Linked DNA regions of Caenorhabditis elegans. The protein of the gene in region 3 interacts with the protein of the main gene of each other region in a pairwise test. Each region holds a gene or a part of one and is shown on either strand. Other genes may lie near its edges. The genes, in order: F42H10.3, nphp-1 and mig-10.

Evidence for each region.
Region 1: the proteins of mig-10 (region 3) and F42H10.3 interact in a two-hybrid assay, tested with the Caenorhabditis elegans proteins (one large-scale study listed by BioGRID).
Region 2: the proteins of mig-10 (region 3) and nphp-1 interact in a two-hybrid assay, tested with the Caenorhabditis elegans proteins (one large-scale study listed by BioGRID).

What each region holds. Positions count from the first base shown.
Region 1 is NC_003281.10:8,481,816-8,489,459, reverse strand, and holds F42H10.3 (LIM and SH3 domain protein F42H10.3), read right to left. Parts: upstream 5,308-7,644; 5' UTR 5,303-5,307; coding exon 5,133-5,302; intron 5,083-5,132; coding exon 4,998-5,082; intron 4,474-4,997; coding exon 4,381-4,473; intron 4,334-4,380; coding exon 4,237-4,333; intron 2,818-4,236; coding exon 2,719-2,817; intron 2,054-2,718; coding exon 1,940-2,053; intron 1,761-1,939; coding exon 1,567-1,760; intron 1,494-1,566; coding exon 1,338-1,493; 3' UTR 1,095-1,337; downstream 1-1,094. Other genes in the region: Splicing factor ESS-2, read left to right, coding at 1-519, 641-1,004.
Region 2 is NC_003280.10:10,647,760-10,654,615, forward strand, and holds nphp-1 (Nephrocystin-1-like protein), read right to left. Parts: upstream 4,498-6,856; 5' UTR 4,471-4,497; coding exon 4,402-4,470; intron 3,880-4,401; coding exon 3,781-3,879; intron 3,528-3,780; coding exon 3,385-3,527; intron 3,329-3,384; coding exon 2,800-3,328; intron 2,750-2,799; coding exon 2,519-2,749; intron 2,341-2,518; coding exon 1,841-2,340; intron 1,763-1,840; coding exon 1,650-1,762; intron 1,605-1,649; coding exon 1,369-1,604; intron 1,308-1,368; coding exon 1,179-1,307; 3' UTR 1,134-1,178; downstream 1-1,133. Other genes in the region: M28.10 (Flo11 domain-containing protein), read left to right, coding at 1-53, 105-189, 334-764; lact-3 (Beta-lactamase-related domain-containing protein), read right to left, coding at 4,820-5,005, 5,741-5,878, 6,078-6,141, 6,845-6,856. UniProt on the Caenorhabditis elegans protein: Plays a role in the extension of dendrites from phasmid ciliated sensory neurons. May be necessary for initial assembly of the cilium.
Region 3 is NC_003281.10:8,276,978-8,282,890, reverse strand, and holds the start of mig-10 (Abnormal cell migration protein 10), read right to left. Parts: upstream 3,784-5,913; coding exon 3,710-3,783; intron 3,247-3,709; exon of another isoform or gene 3,155-3,246; intron 2,453-3,154; exon of another isoform or gene 2,316-2,452; intron 783-2,315; coding exon 533-782; intron 1-532. UniProt on the Caenorhabditis elegans protein: Required cell non-autonomously for proper development of the excretory canals and for the long-range anterior-posterior migrations of embryonic neurons CAN, ALM and HSN.

The DNA.
Region 1 (7,644 bases), 210 kb from region 3:
ACCTCTGAATGTAGACAATTGGGCATACAAAGCATGGAACACTGTACTCTTCAATCCGGATGGGGCAGCTCTGACACCTGCAGAGATTGCAGATGCAGCTAGAAAACAGCAAACTGAAATAAATAAACGTGGCACTAGGTTTCCAGACTCCGGAAAATTGAAGCCTAGCGACGAAGCTATGACTCGAGCAGCAGTGAGCCATGCTCTCGCGAATGCCGGAAAAGTTGATTTTTTGGGAAATGAAGTAACTCCAGCCAACTCATTCAAATTACTCGAAACACCGAATCCAAATCCTGACGACATGGATTCTCCTCTTATGACTTGGGGAGAAATTGATGGAACACCATTCCGACTTGATGCGCCTGACGTTACAGAGCATTCGTTGCCTGGTGCGGCGCCTGTATTCAAGATACCAGAGGTTCCGTATCGGGAGAAAATTGCACAATCTATGAATGATTCAATCGCGGCCAAATATAGAGACAAGAGAAAAGTTGCGATGAGAGCAGCTGAAGGAGCTCAGTGAGTTTTCATTTTTCAATTAAAAATTGTTTATTTTTTCAAGTTATAAAATATATTTCTCTATGGTATTAAAATCTATAACGAGATAATAGTACTTCAAATAATTTTCAACTTGGTAAAGTTTCAGCCGAACACCTGGATTTGGATCCAAGCGAGTCTCAGACAAGCTTGCACAATTATCTCCTGCTGCTCAAAAGTTGGCAACCAAGAAGCTTGGATTAAAAATGTTACCTGCTCACAAATCTCCTTTCGCCTCGCCGAAAATCATGTCGAATTGGTCAAGACCGTCAAGTTCAAAGCGATCCACAACTCCTGGTTCTGCATGGAGTCGTGGTTCTACTACACCTGGATCATCTTGGAGCCAAGGAGCACAAACTCCTGGCACACCTGGGATTGAATCTATGATCCGAAGAAAAGGGGATAACGTCGGACCTTCAACATCAGCCGGAGCTGCAGATAGAGCAAATGCTGGAGACTTTTTCTAATATTATAAGATTAGTATAATTTAGATCTGTATATTTTGTTCTCATGTGCCTTATAGACACGGTTTATTATTTATGACAATGGCCTAATAATTGATAGTAAATTCATTTATTATAATTTTTAATTTTTAAATTTCAGCACCATATAACATTTTAGAAGATTGAAAAACAAATGGAGAAAAGGCATTCAGAAGGTGAACAGAACCCGTTTGTGGGATTTTCAGAAAGTTGAAAAAATAACTGCAGAAGCCTGAAGCATAATTGAAGCATTTAGGGGAAATGTGTGAGCAAGAGCAGGTCATGGAGAGATAGAAAATGTGCGTGGGTTTGGAAATATTAAGAAAGTCGGTGCAATCCGGTAGGAAGTTTATGTGGTTGAACATAATTTGCAGGTAGCATTCCCCATTGAAGAGTTCGTTGAACTGTTCCTGTCATCCATCCATCATCAATTTTCTCGCAGTTCACGATGATATCACCTTCGAGGAATGAAATCTGGAATCAAATATTTTAGATGGTTGAATAAATTTTCATCGTGAAACTGGTTGAAAACCTAATTTAAATTTACCTCGTCTTTATCAGCAGCAGCGTAATCATAAATTGCCTTAACTGCAAATCCAGCTTTTCCAGTCGGTGAAATTGTGCTTTGTGGAGAAGAAAGTGTTGAATGTGGAGATGTTGAAGATATACTATTTGATGATGGAGGTGGAGCTCCTGCAAAATCCGCACAAAATCTTGCCGGACCTTTATCCACTTGAGCCTCTGCAACAAGCGGTTAGTTTCAATTAATGACAGATCAAAATTATTCAAAATGAGCTTTTTAAAAGATTATTTCTTCCACAAAACGAATTAATAAGTACCAAAACGTGCAAAAAATTTGTGTGGATTACAAATGAGCAAATCATTCAAACAAAAGCCAAAAAAAAAAACAAAATCCTTACTCAAATATCCAAGTTTCTCGGAATTTCTCGGTTGAGCAGCAGCTGTACCCCATTGTCCGTTCATTGGATCATAGTCAGCAATACTTCCGATTGATTTTTGTGGTGTTGGAGATACTGAAAGCGAAGAAAAATAACAATGCACAACACAAAAGCTTTTAGAAAATTACACATGAAGCACAACGAAAAATTTGGACTTTATATAACTAGATACCATAAATTAGACAAGGCTTAGGCTTGGCGTCAGTGGGGGAGCGTTAGCTCCCCCACTGACGCGCGATAAAAGTGGCTATTTAGGCTGAAGCCGCGCCATACCGCCGGTGTGTCATAAGGATTTCCAATATTTTATTCCAGTTGGGCATCCTAGTATGTTTTTCGGCCCTTTAGGCTTAAGTGTGTCATAAGGATTTCCAATATTTTATTCCAGTTGGGCATCCTAGTTTTTTTTCGGGCCCTTAGGCTTAAGTGTGTCATAAGGATTTCCTATATTTTATTCCAGTTGGGCACCCTAAGTCTAAATAGCTCTTTTTCTTTTCTTTTGCGCTCCAAGCGCAAGGAAAAACCTTATTGTAACTTTTTAAGAGGTTAGGCTTAGGCTTAGGCTTAGACTTAGGCTAGGCTTAGACTGAGACCTAGCATTATCTTAATTTTTGGTCAAATAATGTATCCGTACAAAAATCAGCAACAAAATCAGCAATAACTTTTATAGGCATTCAATCAGTTTTTCAATACACAAGGTGCTCTTTTTGGATGCTCATTAATCAATTCAATTGCTAACTAACCTGCTCCACCTTGCTCTGTTGAGTAGATCAAATGCGTATTTGCGGCTACTGCTTGTGTTGGAGCCGAATATGATTGATGGTTCATTGGAGAGATTGGAGCTGCAATAAATGGTTAGTGGAAAAAAAAAGTGAGTTGAAAAATGGAGAAGATTGATTTGTTGGAAATAATTCTTTAATTAAATGTATTCTTTATTGAAAAAATCAGTTTGTCATGGTTAATGTAGGATTTGAATAGATAGAAAAATAATAGTCATGATCAGAAATCGAACTGAAAGGAAAATTAAGCTTTAACAGTTTTGGCTGGCCCTTTCTTAAAAGTCGATTTGACTGCTTTCGGCTTTTGGTCAATAACTGGGACGGATGGAGCTGGAGTGGGCTCAGTGGGTTGTGGTGGAACAACAACACCTGAAGGTGTATTTTGTATGAAACAAATGAAGAGATTTGAGAAATAAGTGAACATTAGGACATTGATATGACACGAAAAGAAGTTGAAAATTAAAGTTCAATCTAAAAAGTATTTTCACTCAAAGCCATTTTGGAAAGTTTTCTATAATTCTATATACTAACTGAATGAAGAATTCAGCTTTCTAGAAACAACACTGCAAGTTTGCTTTTTCAATTGTAGAACATCTAAGATATTCTTCTTTAAAAACAGTGTTATTTTTTTAGAAGAAAACTCTGTTATCTGTTTGGCCTAAAAAAGTATGTACCTGGCTGAAAAGTTGGCAAAGTTTAGTCCAAATCTGGACAAAACTTAAGTTTAGATTAACCTAATCCTGATAAAAATATTTGATTCAAAATTTGTCATGTCAAATTTGGCTATATATATTGTTAGACCAATTTTGGACTGAATATTGGCGCGACCTAGAGCAACAACCAAGTTAATACTTTTGCCAAAATTTGGCAAGAACTTGTCCCACATAGTTTTTACAATTTTCAATAAGCGAGAGTCTTTAGTAATTTTCTTTCAGCTTTGAGCAAGAACACTTTAAGATTGATTATAAATATCTGCTCTAGAATTATGGCTAGCTGAAAAAAGCAAAGATGAGGTAGAAGAAAACAAACAAAACGTATCTAATCTAGATATCGATATACCATATTTCCCCTCAAAATGTGCCAAAAGTGTACAAAATGTTTCCAGTACAGTTTCAGAGAATATGGTAAATATGAAAAAAGAAACATTGAAAACTAATTCTAAAAAAAAAGCGAATTCTATCTAGGATATACAATCACCGGAATTTGCCAATAATCATCGTCTTCTTCTTCCTCATCAACTTCTTTTTCTTCATACTTCTCTTCAGTTTCTTGAACCATTGCCACTCCAATTCCATACACAACTCCTCCATTTCCAGTGACCAGTTGATAAACTGGCAGTAAAAAGCGATACAAAAACAATAAGAGAAAAGTGAGGAAAATTGAAAAAAGAATTAAAAGTTTTTCCCGTGCAAGACTTTTGACATAACTTGGACGATACAATTCTCAAGTCCATGGGGACAACAAAATGGAAGAACAACTTACTTGGAGTTGGGTTTGGTGAGATTTCCTCTTTTGGACGGACTTCTTCTTGACGAGCTTTTTGGTCGAGAACTCCGTGATAGGAAACATTTGATTGAACCTTAAAATAGCATTATTCTATTCTATCTTTAAAAATTTATTTCCAACCTGAGTATTTTTCTTCAGTCTTTCCATCTCTGGATCATCAGCAATTTCGATCTTTGTTCCCTTCATTTTCTCGTATTCGGCGTGGTATTTGATCTAAAATTTCAGATTATGAAAATTTGAAAATCAGTTATAGGAAGTAGCAGGTTTTATTGAATAAAACTAGCTATTTTGTTTATAGTTTTTTTTGTGTTTTTTCGAAATTTTGGAAACTCGAAGAATTTGAAAATTTCGTATATTTTATAAACTCAAATTTGAGTTAATTTTTACATTTTTAGTATGGAAAATTCTCATTATATACTAAGATGAACATTATATTAGAACTCTTCAAGAAAACTTGATTTACAGTAGTTTCCGTGGCGAGATCCTTTTTTTGAGAATCCATAATTTGACACCACTACAAATTTTTTAAGTGCCGAATTCGACAAAATTTATTTGTGTAGATTTTATAATATTTTTGATTTTGATTTTACAAATATTTTACAGATATTTTTTGGAAGAATTTTAAAAACTCTTTACAATTTTTGGGATAACATTCTCAAATGTTATATTTTTTAATTATAAATGAGATTTATGGGGAGACGATTTATTTTTTCTCTAAATTTTTTGCAAAAACTTACGTTACTCTGATTTTTAGTATTCTCTGCGATTCTTCTCATTTCTGGAGTATCCGCCATCACTGAAGCCACGGTTTTTGGATAATGTCTGAAAATAGTTGAAAATTTAGAAATTGAAATATTCTCATAAAAACTAACGGATCACAATACGGTCTCTTGTCGTATCCCTTATAGTTTTTCATATTCAATGTCATTCCGCAAACAGTGCATTTGAAGCATTGCTTGTGCCAAACTTTATCAAGACATTTCAGTTCCTCAACTGGATATACCGTCTTCCCGCAATCTTCGCGAGCACACTTTTTGCTCATTTTCTGGAAATAAAAACTGTAGAATATGAAGATTGAAGATATTTGAATAAACTAGAAAAAAATACAAATAGAAATCATAATAATGTTTTTGTAAATTGGCAAAAATTGGTAAAATTCATAAGAGTTTTGAGAATTGTCACATATTTTTACCCTATCAGAATAAAAACATATATTTTTGGGTTTATAAAATTATGTGTGGTAAAATTAAAAGTTGCCAGTTTAAATAAATCAAATTTGGGTTTTTCGGAAAATTTTAATATTAAATCTGTCAATTTGAGGTATTATCTTTGCTGAACCTTAATCTTTATAATTCTAACTTTTAAGACAAAACAAAATTTTTTTTTAATTTATAATTTGGAAATACTTTCCAAATTCTATGCTTTTTGGAAAGTTTCACCCTTGGACGGGAACGAAAGTTGTATGGCATAAATGATAGATAAGGCGAAACAAAGAAACATAGACAGATAGAGTAAATAAATTGAATGGTTAGGTTAGGTTGGATGTAGAATGGTAGGAAAATGACGGATAGACAAAAAAATGTATGAGTAAAAGTAAACGAGGCGAGAAACGAACGAGGGATGAAATGGGCGGATAGGGTGATTGTACAAAGATTTCGGGTAAAAAATTGAGAAATAGCGGGAAAGAAGAATGTGTTATTTATTCATGGAGCCCCCTTCTTCACTCCCCGACAAGACACTACACACAACTCTCACACATTTATGTTTGTGCTCATTTTGACTTTCCATACTCACATTGTTATCACACATATCAGTGAAATCAGGGAACTTGGTTTGTTTTGGCAAACGATTAAGTTGCGGTAAACGTATTGTTGGTTTGGGAAGAAAATGAAAAATGTATTATAATATATGAACAAAAGTGTAGTGGAGGCGATATGAATAATATAATAATATTTAATAATATATATATATATATATATATATATATATATATAATATTTCCCGAAAATTTAAATGTCCTCCATTTCTTTTTTTGCGATTTTCGGAGCCCAACTATAGTTTTTGCTTCAATTAATATTCAATTTTACAGAGAACCGGAAAAATTATTTTGATTTGAAGGAGTTTTTGTTTTAAATGTTCGGTAAATTACGAAATAATACTTTTATAATGAGTCCAAATTTCAAAAAAATGAGCAGGCATCTGTCCATTTTTGAAAGTAGTTCAAAAGGATTGTAGATGACCTCTCAAGAAACTATTAAAAAAGAAGAAGACGAAGCAAAGGGTACTAGTCTATTGAGAAGCTCATTTTCGAAAAAGTAGTTTTGAGTTTAAAATAGCTCCCTCCACATAAGAAAGATACGGGTCGCATCCTCGGAGCCGGCGGCGAAGAGAAGATGGGGAAGCGGTGTAAAGTGAAAAGTGAACACTTGGAAGAAGCCGTGCATACAACATGTTGATGATGCATCATCATTTTGTATGAAATTTCAAACGTTTTTTTTTTATATTGAAACCCAATTTGGAAAAAAAATGTATTGAAGCTGAACGGAATTCGAAAAATGTGCAAAAAACGACGTTGAAAAACTTTTGTAAGTTTTGTTTAAAATTGTTTGTAAATTTTTCTAGGCAATTTGAATAAACCGCAGGCTTAGGCACCAGAAAAGAGACATATTTACCCAAGAACACATGATTTTGGTTTTTTGCAATCCTTGATAGAAACTTAAACAAATATATTGTTTGAAATGGGAACAAGCAGTTTCAGAAAATAACAGAAAATTGGCAGAAGGCAGGCAGGCAGGCCGGCAGGCAGGCAGGCGGAACGTAGGAATGTAAAAAATGTATCGGGAGTTATTATCACAAATCTTACGGTTTTTCGGTATTTTTAGAAATCCGAAAAATTGGAAAGTTTTGTATTTGGTTGTACAATTTTCAGGGGTTTCTCCTTACGGTTTTTGTAAAAAATCAATGCTGCACCCTTGGCAGGTGAATCTTTCAATTAATTAAAGCGAGATGTTGAGGAGACAGTAGGCAGGTAGTAGGCAGGCACGTGAAACCCTATTGAAAATAGTCGTTTGGTTTCGGATCACCTCTATAATGGAAATCCGACTTTGTGGCTTCAAAAAGACGCGAGAGAATCGAATTTCTAAAAAGTGATGTTGATTGGAATAAATTAATATTGAGAACCGGAAGATTTGATTTATCCTCATCACGTCCAAGCAGCTAAAGAATTGTGAGAATTTCTTGAGAAACAAACAGAGAGGATTGCGGGGGCAGTAGAAGATGAAGGAAGAGGGCAGGTTGTCTTCCATTCTCTTCTGTTGGTCACTCCTCGTTGTAACACAAGAAGAAGAAGCTGGTGAGATGGAGAGGAAAGGGAATAAAATCCAG
Region 2 (6,856 bases), on a different chromosome or scaffold from region 3:
TGGATTCCACAATTTTGAAATTTAATGACACCGGTGCATGTGCCTTCACAAAAGTAAATTTGTGCCAATTAAGCTTTTCTAGACTATTGAGCAATTGATTTCAGGGTTTTAATGCGAACTTCACAGTGGTCAATGCAACTGGTCAGAGCTTGAATGATAATGTTCAAGTTGCTAGTAATAATGCATCAGGTAAATAGGCAGGAAGTCTGTACTGTAGTTTAAAAGTTTTAAGTTAATGCATATATTTTTGGAGTTCGTAAATTTTTCTGACCAGGTGTGCTCTTAAATTCAATTCTCACATTTGAAATTTCCCGTATTCCATTTTATTTCCAGACCTACTTACCGCATCAGCAAACGCCAACACAACCGCCACATTGCTTTACAACTCAATTTCTTGCTTCCAACAAAATGTAAACTCCAGCTACACATGCTTCTCACCTCCAAGCACTATTGCTCCGTCTACCATTGCTCCATCCACAACTGCCAGCGATGTCTCCACTGTAAACCCTGTGACTGACAACGGAAGTACCGTGTCTCAAGGAACTCAGCCGACTGGTGGAAGTACTGCTGCTCCAGTGAGTACTGATGCACCAGGTTCTACTGTCTCTGGAGCAACCGATGCATCCGTTGCATCCACAGCTGGTGGAGATACTACTGCAAGTGGAGCTTCTGTGGTATCAACCGCTGCTTCTTCCGAGGCCTCTACCGCCGCACCTGAAGCTTCTTCCGCTGCCGCTACTGTAATCAGCGGCAAGCCAGTTTAGGAACTCTTAGATTTCTCAGAACCACATCCTGATCGTCAGCTCGCAGAATTTCATGATGTAATAAAACCCCTTAATGGAATAAATTCGATGAGGCTGTGATTCTGAAAAATCGCCCAATTTTATTCATTATTGCGAATAAACATATTTCATTTCAAATCCATTTTTTGAGAGGGTACAGTGTGAAAATTTACAACTGAAAAATGGCCATTGCTCAGTTTTACCACTCCTATGTTTGGGAGTCGACTCTAAATTATTCAAATATTAAACAAAAAAACCAAAAATTTCAAAACCAAAAATTTCAAAACTTGAAATTTACTGAAACAATGACTGAAACATTTCTATGCTTAGATGCTAGATGAGTAGAACTTATTACACAGTTAAATTTTTTATTGAGCTTAATTTTATCTCCATAAATTAGTCAATAGAATGATTGCCTAAAAGATCCAATGAATAATCGATAATATTGATTGGTTTGCATTGTTGATCTGCGATGAACTGCTTGAAAAGTCCCTTATTCAATGCATCCACAAATCGTTGCATAGTCTGAAATGTTACAATAATCGAAGCCTGATTTTGAAACGAGCTCCAAGAGCAGCAGCTCTACCTGTTGCCTAATCGAAAGAGTAAGATCATCTTTGACATCATACGAAATCATTCGAATCCCATGAATAAAAAACGCGGTGTGTAGAAAAGTTTGGAAGAACTCGGCAGTTTGTTCAGCTTCGTTTTTCTTGGCGAGCACTTTCTTTTTGGTTTTCCAAATTTTCAGCATTATATCCATAATGTCATGCTGGTCACAAACAAATGGGAATACAGAGAGAAGTGGGTCAGATATAAATTCTGAAATTAGTTCAAAATATTGTTTGGGTGGGTATGAAATCCTACCAGCACTCAATGGATTCCGATTGTCCCGAATTAAAATGGTTCCAGCTCGTCGGCGGTAAAAGTGGAAGAATGGTAAATAAAGAGCATTGAATACTATGACATCGGGGAGGGAGCTGGAAAAATAATTTGGGTTGAACTTAAAGTCAGGTCAGGGATCCAGATTTTCAGCTTTCTTAGTTTCCAAAACTCACTCCACATATGAAACCTTATCCTTGGGAACATCCATCACTTGAACCAGAACTCTTCTTTTCGAAGCTTCCGGCAACTTCATTTTTGTCATCACTTCATCATCCAAATACAAAACATTCGTTCTACTTGGCACTGCTTTATCATCAATTATCAGTCGCAGATATGTATGTCCCAAACTCTTTTCCTCAATTCCTATTTGTGTCTTCACCAAATGAGATGCTTCCACAACAAGTACCACTGTCGGAGATCGATAGTTTGAGCGGAGAACAAAATCAGAAAACTCGATGCAGCTTCTCGTCTGGCTCTCTTTTTTCTCAAAGTACCACGTTGAAGATTTGACACGTGGCACAAGAGTGTGCACGTTGCTCACAATTTGAGTGGATTTTGGATTTGTGATGTCGACAAGAGCCATTCTGACAAGTGCCTTGTGTTCGATTAGGGGCATCTTTTCAAATCGAACTAGACGGATAATTTTTGATATATGGACAGTTCGCTTGTAAACCTGCAAAAAATATAGTTGATTTATGAAAGTGAGCAAAAAATGTGTTGCTATGAGTAGCAAATGATTCATAGTAAAAATTTTTAAAGCAATTTTCTCAGCCGTTTTTAGGAAGACTCAGAGGTTTTTTGGCAAAACTGTAGCATTTTTTGGGTAGAAACTGCAAGTTTTAAACTTTTACCTGATCCTTGTAATGACTCCAAAAAAGATCATGAAATCCAATATTTGAAGTTGATAGTCTCGGAGCCATATGGCACACTAGTGACAAGTGAGTGTCATTGTCATATGCTTTACCAAGACAGTCATCAACTCGAGATGCCTGCCGGTTTGCTTCTCGTCTTGATGGATCAGTAGTCGTAGATATTCCGATCACCGAATCTCGAACTCCGAGGCGACTAGACACTTTTGATGGCTGAAAATTTCTACTTATTAAACTAACGATACTAGAGAAAAGTAACAAACCACATTCTTCGGCTTTTCCTTAACATGTTGTAAATAAGTCTTTGGCACAAGACCCCTCTGACCATATTCATCCAGTGCAGTCCACCAACCATCGGATCTTGTCTGTGTGATTCGATACTTCTTTCCTTTGATTAACTCCAAATCCCCTTCAGCTTCTGCATCCCAACTGTCAATTGCAACAAAAACATTGCCACGGACTACAACTGGTTCCATAACTTCTCCAGAATCTCCACGACTCGGATTCTGAAGCCTTGAGATGACTTCATCAAGTTCTTGACGTTCATTCAAAGTCTTTGATTCAAGAGGTTTTGTAATTGTGATAGGTTGTCTGGGTTTTGGTTGAGGTTGCTGGTGCTGTTGCTGTGGAGGCTGTGGCTGACTCGGAAGAGGATCATCCAGCTGAACATCCGTCTCAATAATTTCTGAATCATTATCAGAATCTTCTGATTCATCATCGTTATACATTGTGCTTTTTCGGCGGCCAATTGCAGCCATTTTCGGTTTTTCTTCTTCTGATTGAGAGTCCACACTGGAATTGAATATTTAACTATTTATTAGAGAAATTGAATTTAATTATAATTTTACCTGACAGAAAACGATAATTGCTCCTTTTCCGGGCTCAAAGCTGTCAATCTTTGCTTCAACTTGTCAAGTTGCTCTAGAGCGTTTTCTTTCTTGTAGGTCTCGTCAGTTTTGGCCTTTTCAATTCGATTTCGGTGATCGTCGAGCTGCAAACTGTATGCATATGTTGATATCCTTGAATGATACTTCTACGTAGGCACGAGAATGCCTACCTACCAGAGTGCCTACGGTCTACACATATGCCTAACAATTTTTCAATGTTTGTAAACAATTAATTGAAATTAAATAGAAAGTTGGTCGACCTAAAATCTATGAATCAAACCGGAGATCCCATAATGGGCGGTAGGTAGGCCCGTAGGCAGCCAGGCATAAGGCAGATAGAGAAAATGCAATTTTTACCTGTCTATGCAATTCCTGGCACTGTCTGACAAAATGTTTGCGAAAACTTGCTCTCGACGCGGCTTCGGTGTCTTTTTGCTCTTTTTCGAGGCGATTTATCTGAAAAAAAGGCTTTTGCTATTTTTCCTTGAAAATACGGTTTACGGTCTAGACACGACAATTTTTGTCGAATGCGAAAAGTTGTGTGCCTTTAAAGAGTACTGTAATTCCAAACTTTCGTTGCAGAGGAATTTTTTAGTTTTTTAATAGTTTTTAGATGAAAATATGTACATTAAATTTAAAAAAAATTCTGGAATTTTGAATTACAGTACTCTTTAAAGACGCACACCTTTCCGCATTTAACAAAAATCTGTTGTGACGAGACTCAGTTTTAATTATACGTTTGAAATTTAATTAAAACGTTGAAAATGCGCCCCACTGCAACTTTTTGGGTATTGAAGGGATTTTTTTAGTTGGAAATGAACAATAAACCACGAATTCAATTTTTAGTTATTTAATAATGTGTAATGGAAAAATTAAAAAATTCACAATAATAATTTTTAAATAAATTACAAAAAAATCCAAAAATTGAAAAAAATCGAATTCCTTTTCAAATTCGTGTTAACAATTAATATTCCCCACCTGATATTCAAACTGCGGAAATCGATTTATGGCATCCTGCAGACTTAGAATGCTTCCAAATATGGACATCCTGCTTTCCTCTCCCCCTGGAAAGCTCTTTTCCGCGCGGCCACTTGCCTTAAGCCACCCTCGTTGCCCCTGGCAACTTGCGGGTTACCACCTGCCAGCTCCCCGCAAATGTGGTTAAAAACTGGTGAACTGATGGTTTATTAGTAAGGAAATCGAGAGAGAGCAGATAAATATGCAATTTTGTGGGGTCACTCGGTCAGTTAATTACGGGGGAAGAAGCTTCAACATTGAGAGAACGACACTTGGAATGAATGAATTAAAAACGGACTGTACAAAGAACACGCGGGATGATTTGGGATATATCTTAAAACTATATGGAATCACTAATTAAAAAATGAAATAAAATAAATTATGATTGAATATTAATTTGTTCGATGACATCATATACAGAAGTCTGAAGTCCCCAGTACGTCCTGCACAAGTCGTAGAGTCCCGTTTTCAACCCATTTGTGACGTAGGCAATTGTCACTCGATTCTTGAGATCTGTGATGACCATTTGGCATCCGTGCCCGGTATGTCCGAAGCCGAATTGAGTCTGAAAATATGGCGAATTATGAAAGAAAAATATTAAAAAAATTCACTGAAAATTAAATAAAAAAACGCTCCTAACATTTTGCAGGTTCTTTAGCTAAATTTAGGGTTTTAAATATTTTTTCTATGCATTTTCATTTTTTGAATGAATTCGAAATTAATGGTTTTTCAACAATTTCTCCTGTTTTTTCGTTTTCTGTTCACCACCTGGGCTCTTTTTTTTTGGTCCTTTGCTAATTTTTTGGGGGTTTCAAAATTTTTTTTTTTTTGCTTTTTTCGGCAGTTGTAATTTTATTACAAAAATGGATTTTTCAGTCTTTTTTAATGCAAAAATTAATTTTTGGCTGTTTATGTTTTATGTTTATTTATTTAATTTATTTTTAATTTTGTTAATTTTTGTTATTTTTGTTAATTTTTGTTAATTTTTGTTAATTTATGTTTATTTAGCAAAAAGGTACTTTTCGGGTTTTTTTGAGAAAAATTGATTTTTTTGAATTTTTTATGGGAAAAAGGACAGTGGTTTTTTTTTTCGCAAAAATGGATTTTTTAAAAGTTTTTTTTGGCAAAAATTAAAAAATCTGCTTTATTGGATGAATTTTGACTTTTTCGTTCTTTAAGAGTTTTTTCAGACTTTTGTTGGTTTTTTTGGTTTTTTTATTGTGAAAATGGATTTTTTAAAATTTTTCAGTTCAAAATTTCCATCATCCCTCGTCCCTCTTTCGATTATTCAAAATCTCACCCCAGCTCTATGAATGGGCAAATGGAAAAATCCGTGTCCCTTGGCGACAGTATCATCAAAAATGAAATCACTCTCGTTGACGAACGGTTTGCTTATCGTGTTCAGTGTAGCCTGATTGAGAAGTTTTCCTCGATTTACCTGAAACAATCCTCTTAACTATCGTTTTTGTTTCAGTTTTTTTAAACAGTCACAAGGAAATTTCCTTTTTCTTTTTTTTTGTTCGACTTAAAAATTTCTTTTCTTCGCTATCAGCCTAGTTTCAGCTGATAACGATGTTCAAACAAAACGAAAAAAAACTTAAAATTCTCATAAATTTATCAAAAAAACGAGAACAAACCTTGTCAAAAAGTGAGGCAAGAGAACGAGCATTTCCCATTCCAAGTGCGGCAGCTTGCTCCAATCTGGAAAAAAAACATGAATTTTAAAAAATGAAATAGCATAAAATATTGGTCAGATGCGAGATTTTGTCTCAAAACTATGACAATAGGTCTCGAAGCGACTTTTAAGGAGTACGGCAGTTTCTGAATTCTCATTTTAAAACATTTCATTTATTTTTTTATACTTTCACATGCAACATCGTAAAAAATCCAAAAAGAAGCGAGGATTTGGAAACTACAGTAATCCTTAAATTTTGGCATTGGAGAAAATCGGCCGCTTCGAGACCTGGTAGTGTATTTTTTGGGGGAAAATAGCAAAGTTTCGGATCTGGGTAACAGAATTTTTTGCGTAAATATACAAAAATTTGCTCGAAACTACCGAATTTCATAATGCGACATTACACAAAAAAAGCCAAAACTTTTATGGAGTGTAAATATTTTAAAACTTCGAAAAAAGAACCGAATTTTGCTGAAATCTGAATTTTAGCCAATAGTTTTTAATGAAATATAGCGGAATTGAAAATGTTTCGTTTTTTTTTTTTTTTTTCCGTTTTTTCCGATTCGATTTTACGAAAAATATCTTAAAATGCTGGTTATTTGTATTTGTTTAAGAATAAATTTATATGTTTCCTCATGTATTTTCCATCAAATTTGACTTTTTTTAACGTGAATTTTATGATTAATTTTCTGAACACATTTTTTTCGATTTTCCGGGCAATTCTCGTACCGATGATAATCT
Region 3 (5,913 bases):
TGTCCCTCTGTCGCTCTCTCACTTCTGTCCGAAGTACTATGTGTGGTAAAAAGTGAGAGATAGAAATGTATATACACATTGTATAAAACACAATATGTACAACAACCAATAGATATGTTTCCTGCTGTTAGTTCAGATCAGTGGCAGAAAAATGAAACTGGTTTCATCTTCATGGCTTTTCAACTTTTCAACGAAAATGGCATAAGAGGTGACAAAAATTTACACAAAAGATTGGAAAATGGAAATCAGATTTTTGAGAATCCGAGAATTTTTTAGAAAAAAAGTCAAATTAAAATATTAAAAACCGGTTTGAATGGAAAAATATTCTACGACCAATTGAAATTTTAGTTTTAATTTCAAAAAATGCACATCAACAATTTTTATAAAAGTTTGTTACTTCTGAAGTTAGCAGTGTTTAAACAACATTCAATAAAAGGCTTTTAATATTGATATTCTATGAGATGAACTATGCGGTTTTAGAAAAAGTGAGAGTAAGTTTGCTCTCCAGCTTCAAAAGTTCAAATCTACTCACCTCGAAATTTTCAGTTTTTTCTACAGGATCTTTAGATTCTTCGTCATCTGCCGTCTCAGCAATATCCTCTTCTGTATCGGCTTCTAACTCGTTCTCCTCTTCAATATTAGCACAAACCTTCGGAAACTGTTGCTCTTCGAGCACGTTCAACAACGGAGGAGGCCGTTCAACTTCGTCGAGTTCCAAATTAATAGCGTTGCTCAAAAGTGTGGACGAGGAAAGTGGTAGAAGACTTGAGAGCAGGGAAATGCTGTAAAATGAATGGAATTTATTGGGAATGCTTTCATGTTTACATAAACGAGAATGCATTCTTTAAGTGGATCAATTTGAAAAATGGAACACATCAATGGAATTTAGAAATTTGTTGTGTTTCTCTTAGAAAGTAATTTTGTTAGAAACCTCTCCAAATGGGAAAAACTCAAATATCATAGTAAATCTTTTCAAAAAACTTGTCTGAATTTTTAATTCAAATTGTGTTGTGAAAACTTAGTTTGCACCTATCATAATTTCAAGTGTGGCAGATTTTTGTTTCTATGAGTTTTTATACTTTAATTGCCTTTTTTTTTATTTGCATATATTGCTCTATTTCAACATTCTGAGGACGAACCAATGCTCGAAATTACTTAGAATGCCCATATTTTTGGAACATTTCGTAAATTACCAAAACATTGAATGTAAGTTTTTTAAAAATTGAAAAAAGGGCTTTTCTGAATCAACTTCTCTATTTTGAATTCACATTTAAAATTGAAAGAATATTTCAAGTTTCTAGAATTGAAAAGTAGATGGCACTTCATAAGAAAAGAAAGAGGAACAGGGAACAATCTGCCAACATTTTTGATGAATTGCTCCCAAACAAAGAGTGAACGACAGCATTTTGATGGACAAAGAGAGAGTCAAAGGGGTCAAGAAAGTGAACATACTCTACCATGACAAGGCTGTTCTCTTCTGGTGATTCAAAACTGAAAGGTTTGAAGCAATTCGAAACTGACGGAAAGGACACGCTCCGGTAAAAACGATGAATGAACATCAGAAATGGAACACACATGGCAACAACACGGACCGATGAACACCTGGCTAGCCACGAGGATTTGCCGGATTTTCGAGGATTTTAGTTAGTTCATAAACAAATTGGGGTTTGGATGGTGTTAATTAGAAATTTTTTGATAGTTTTTTGTAGAGAGGGCTTGAAAACGTTATTGAAAATCCATGTGAGCTATATAAAGTTTTTTCAACTTTTTGATAGATGATTTTCTGGTTAATGTTTAATCTATGACTTGTATATTTTTGTTGTTTTTTCTATTTTTTCTATTTTTCACAGTACAAAATTATTTTTAAAAAATCTATTTAGAGATTCAGGAGAAATGATATCAATTTTGGCAAACTTTCATAACTTTTAGACGCCATTGCGAAATTTTACTAATGGTTATTGAAAAATAATCGTTTCGCGGACTTGAAGTTATGTAGCTCTTTCTTTCTTGTCATTCTTGAAAAAAATTCACCAATTTTCTCCGTTTTTCTTCCAACTTACTTAGTATCTTGGTTACCTTTTCCTAGACCTCCCCGACTTTCAAACTTAATTAGACCACACTTGCAACTATCTTTAAAAATTCAGAGAATTTCACTTTCATGGCCAAGAGCAGCAATAAAAGTCAGAAAAGTGAAAGAAAAGAGAAATAGAGTGCAACACAGAAACAAGAATGGACAAGAGAACGGACAACCCATTGTTTCAGAATGTCGTTCCTTTTCTCTGTGTCTCTTTTGAATTCATACACATGTTCCATGAAACATGCTCGCGCACAGATTGAAATGAACAGAAAGAGACGAGGAAGAGTGCGAATGATTTATTCATCAATGCTCTGGTATGTTCAGAGCTTTGCAACAAATGAAAAAGAGCACAAATGGAACATTTCTGAATAATATTGATTCGTAACTTAACTTTGCTTCATAACTTTAGAACATCTTGAAAAAATTGCACAAAAAAGAGTTTTGTCTGTCGTTTGGGAAGTAGAGTTGCGTTGTGGAGACATTATTTTTCCTAGGGCTGAGTAAGGCTGAGTAATCTAGTATCCTACCAAATAATTTAGATAATTTTTTAAAAAGGCTGCGGTTTCTTTGGAGAAATTACATGAAATAAAAAGTTCTGAACACTTCAACACACATTCAAAAGTTTTGTTACATTCCGATCTAAGCTATAAGTCATATTTTTGGAAAACCAACAAAAAATTCTGAACGAAAATCCAGTAGGTTTCAAGGAAAACCGTACAGCCAACAAGAAAAGATCATAGAAAATCACATCTGGATGGCCTTCCGTTCTATTTCTTTTGCCGGATTGTCACTAAATCATCTGCGAATGATAAATGACCGTAACCAAAGAAAACTAATCAAGTGTATAGAATACGGGAAATGAGGTCATTGGAAAAAAGGCCTAACTGGAAATTAGGCTGAAGCTACTGCTAATACTAGTGTTACGAAACACGACAAGAAAAAGTAATCAATTCAGAAGCATCGCCAATAAACCAACAAATAGAACATATAATCAAGTTATCTGAATGCACGAGATAGGCGTAAAGGACGTACGAACATGCCAGCTTAGAGATTATAGGAAATTGTGAGTCACAGACAAAAACGCAAGTTGAGATAGCAATCTTTTGCTCGATGAGGGTGAAGGTCCGGTCAACTGATGACCACTAAAGATAGACACAACATACTACCAAAGCTTTATAAAAACGAATAATTGGAAAAATAGGAAAATTTGTTAGCGATAAGAAAAATTTGAATTATCCAAATGTGAATGTAAAGATAGCCTGCCAAATTTGAAAAAAAAACGCATCTTTGTGAACATTTTACAAAACTACAATAAAGATGGTTTAGCTTTTGTCAAAACATACCAACAAAAAAAACACTATAATTTTCGAAACACTAAATGTTTTATGATTTTTGGAAAGTTTTATTTTTCCGTTCTTCAAACTATTCAGTGACTCGATTTTTTTCCAAACCTTTTTTCTATAAAATAAAAAACTTTACCCATTTTCCATTTAACATCTAAACGTTTCAAATTGGCTAAGATCAAACGGCAAACACTTGAAAAGTGTGCATAAGGTAATTACGAGAAACCATTTGGGAGTCAAGTGTTTACGGACCACTGACATTTCTTTGGTTACCACAATAAGAACTCACCACTTTTCACCAAAAAGTTGATCTTCTTCGTCACTGTCAACTTCCAGATCGCATTCCTCTTCGCAACTGTCCATATTGGCTGAAATTTTGGAATTCAATCTTGAATAAATGTAACAAAAAGAAAATGGATCTTCTGAGACACAAAGTTTACCGGAAATGTACATGTAGCTTTGTTTTAGAGTTGAAACTTGAGAAGTCGTATAAGAAAGAAGGAAAAAATTGGAAGGGAAAGGAAAACTTTAAGGGGTCAAAAACCTTTTTTAAAGAAAAAAAACTGAAAAAATTCGTCAAATCAAAAAATCTAGCATCAAAAATTGCTCGTTTTTCGACTTTTAGAAATATCCAAAGTATTTGCCCAAACTTGCGCAAATAATATTTGTATACTAAATTCTGAATATCTAGTTTTCAATCAGCAGGAAACAGACTTTTATTGAATTTTTTTCATAGATTTCTCTAGTTTATTGTCACAATAAATCCACTTTTTCTAGTCTTAAAAATATGTATTGTATGTAGAACAATCTTTTTATTCTCAAGTTAAAAAATTATGAACCCTTGCAATCTAGAAAAAATTCAAAACACGACTTGTCAAGCTAATCCAAATAAAACAATAACAAAAACAAAATTGAGATTTCCGCTCTCTAAATACCGTATTTTCCTATGTTTGAACCACACTACTCTACATTGACGGCTTATATTTCAGTGGTTTAAGCTCAACGAAAAACTGTTCAACTATACAAATATAGCAAATTATTTGACACCTACTTTTACAGTTTAAAATGTCTCAATAAAATATAAGAAGACCGAGATATTTATGAGTTGTTAAAGTAGAGCAAAGTGATGCAAGGCCAAATTTGAGTGTGTGGTCTAAAGTTTTTAAGACAGAAGGAAAACCCAATTGACCACTAAATAATCTACACCAAATTTTCTTCCGTCTCCTCGAAAAAACAACAACATCTGCATAAAAAAGTGATTGACCTTCCCTCTGTCGGGATCGTTGCTAACAAAGTGCAAAAGCGATGATACAAGTCAAGGGATACCCCCCTCCCCCGCACAACAACAAGAAAGAATAAAAAAGAAGGCGGGGACAGCAAAGAGGGACACATATATCTCTTCCGCGCGGAAAGAAAGCGGCAAAAACGTACTAATGCGCGAGAAAAGAAGCAGAAGAAGCATATAATGACCTTTTTATGATAAAGTCTCGTGGGACAACCGGACCATCAATATGGTATTGAGTATAGAATATGCAAATTTTGGTTGAATAGAAAAACGAAGAGAAAATGGAACAGAAGGAGAGTTCAGAGTGCGCAAATAATGGAAGGAACGCGCGTAATCTGGAAGAGTTGACATAAAAAATAAGAGGATTATTCATAATTGAGTCGCTCGGCACGATACGGTAAGGAAACTATAATGAAGAAGATTACAAGACAATCAAAACTAGAACTTTTAAAAAAGTTTTCAGAAAAACTTGGTAGCAGTAAGGTAGTTATAGGTAAGTAAGGTATAGAGCACATTCTGAAGTTGGAAATTTCAAGTTTTTTTTTTTTTGAAAAAAAAGTGAAGTTTCTGCTGAAACCATAGAAAACTATAGTTCAAATTTCCCGAAAATAATTACAGTTAGCGTCGCCAAGTTTAGCCAAGATAAATGAGTATTTTATGCAAGAATTTTTGTAAAACTTCCAACCGAAAAGCTATTTGTACTTCAAAAATGTTTATTCAACTCACCCTCCATTATGTAGATGAGTTGATGGTTTTTCACAATTGGAATGAACACATAGTAAGACTACTCTACAGATAGAGTTGAATAAAAATGTTCTGCTTTTCAACTATTTAGTCATGATCGTTTAAGACAAAGGACAAAAGCAAGTTTTGAAAATTCGACCAATAAGACTGATTTAGAGCTGACCATTTCTGCATGTCTTGAACAAAAAATGACATAATATGGTCACAACTGGAAGAAAAAACTGGCAACGGAACGACTCAAGTAACCTAACATTTTAGAAACGTTCCACCATTCTGAACACCATTCAAAACTTAAGCTCTATGGCTCAGGCTGCAATTTAAATGGGAAATGAGCCGAGAAACAAGCCTATGAAGAATTGAATGGCTGCTGACCCATGCTCCAGAAACTCCAATTAGTCATTTGCTAACCTCAATCACGGGGGGTCTCGGCTGCAGCGTTTTCGAAAACTAATTGGTCCTCCTTC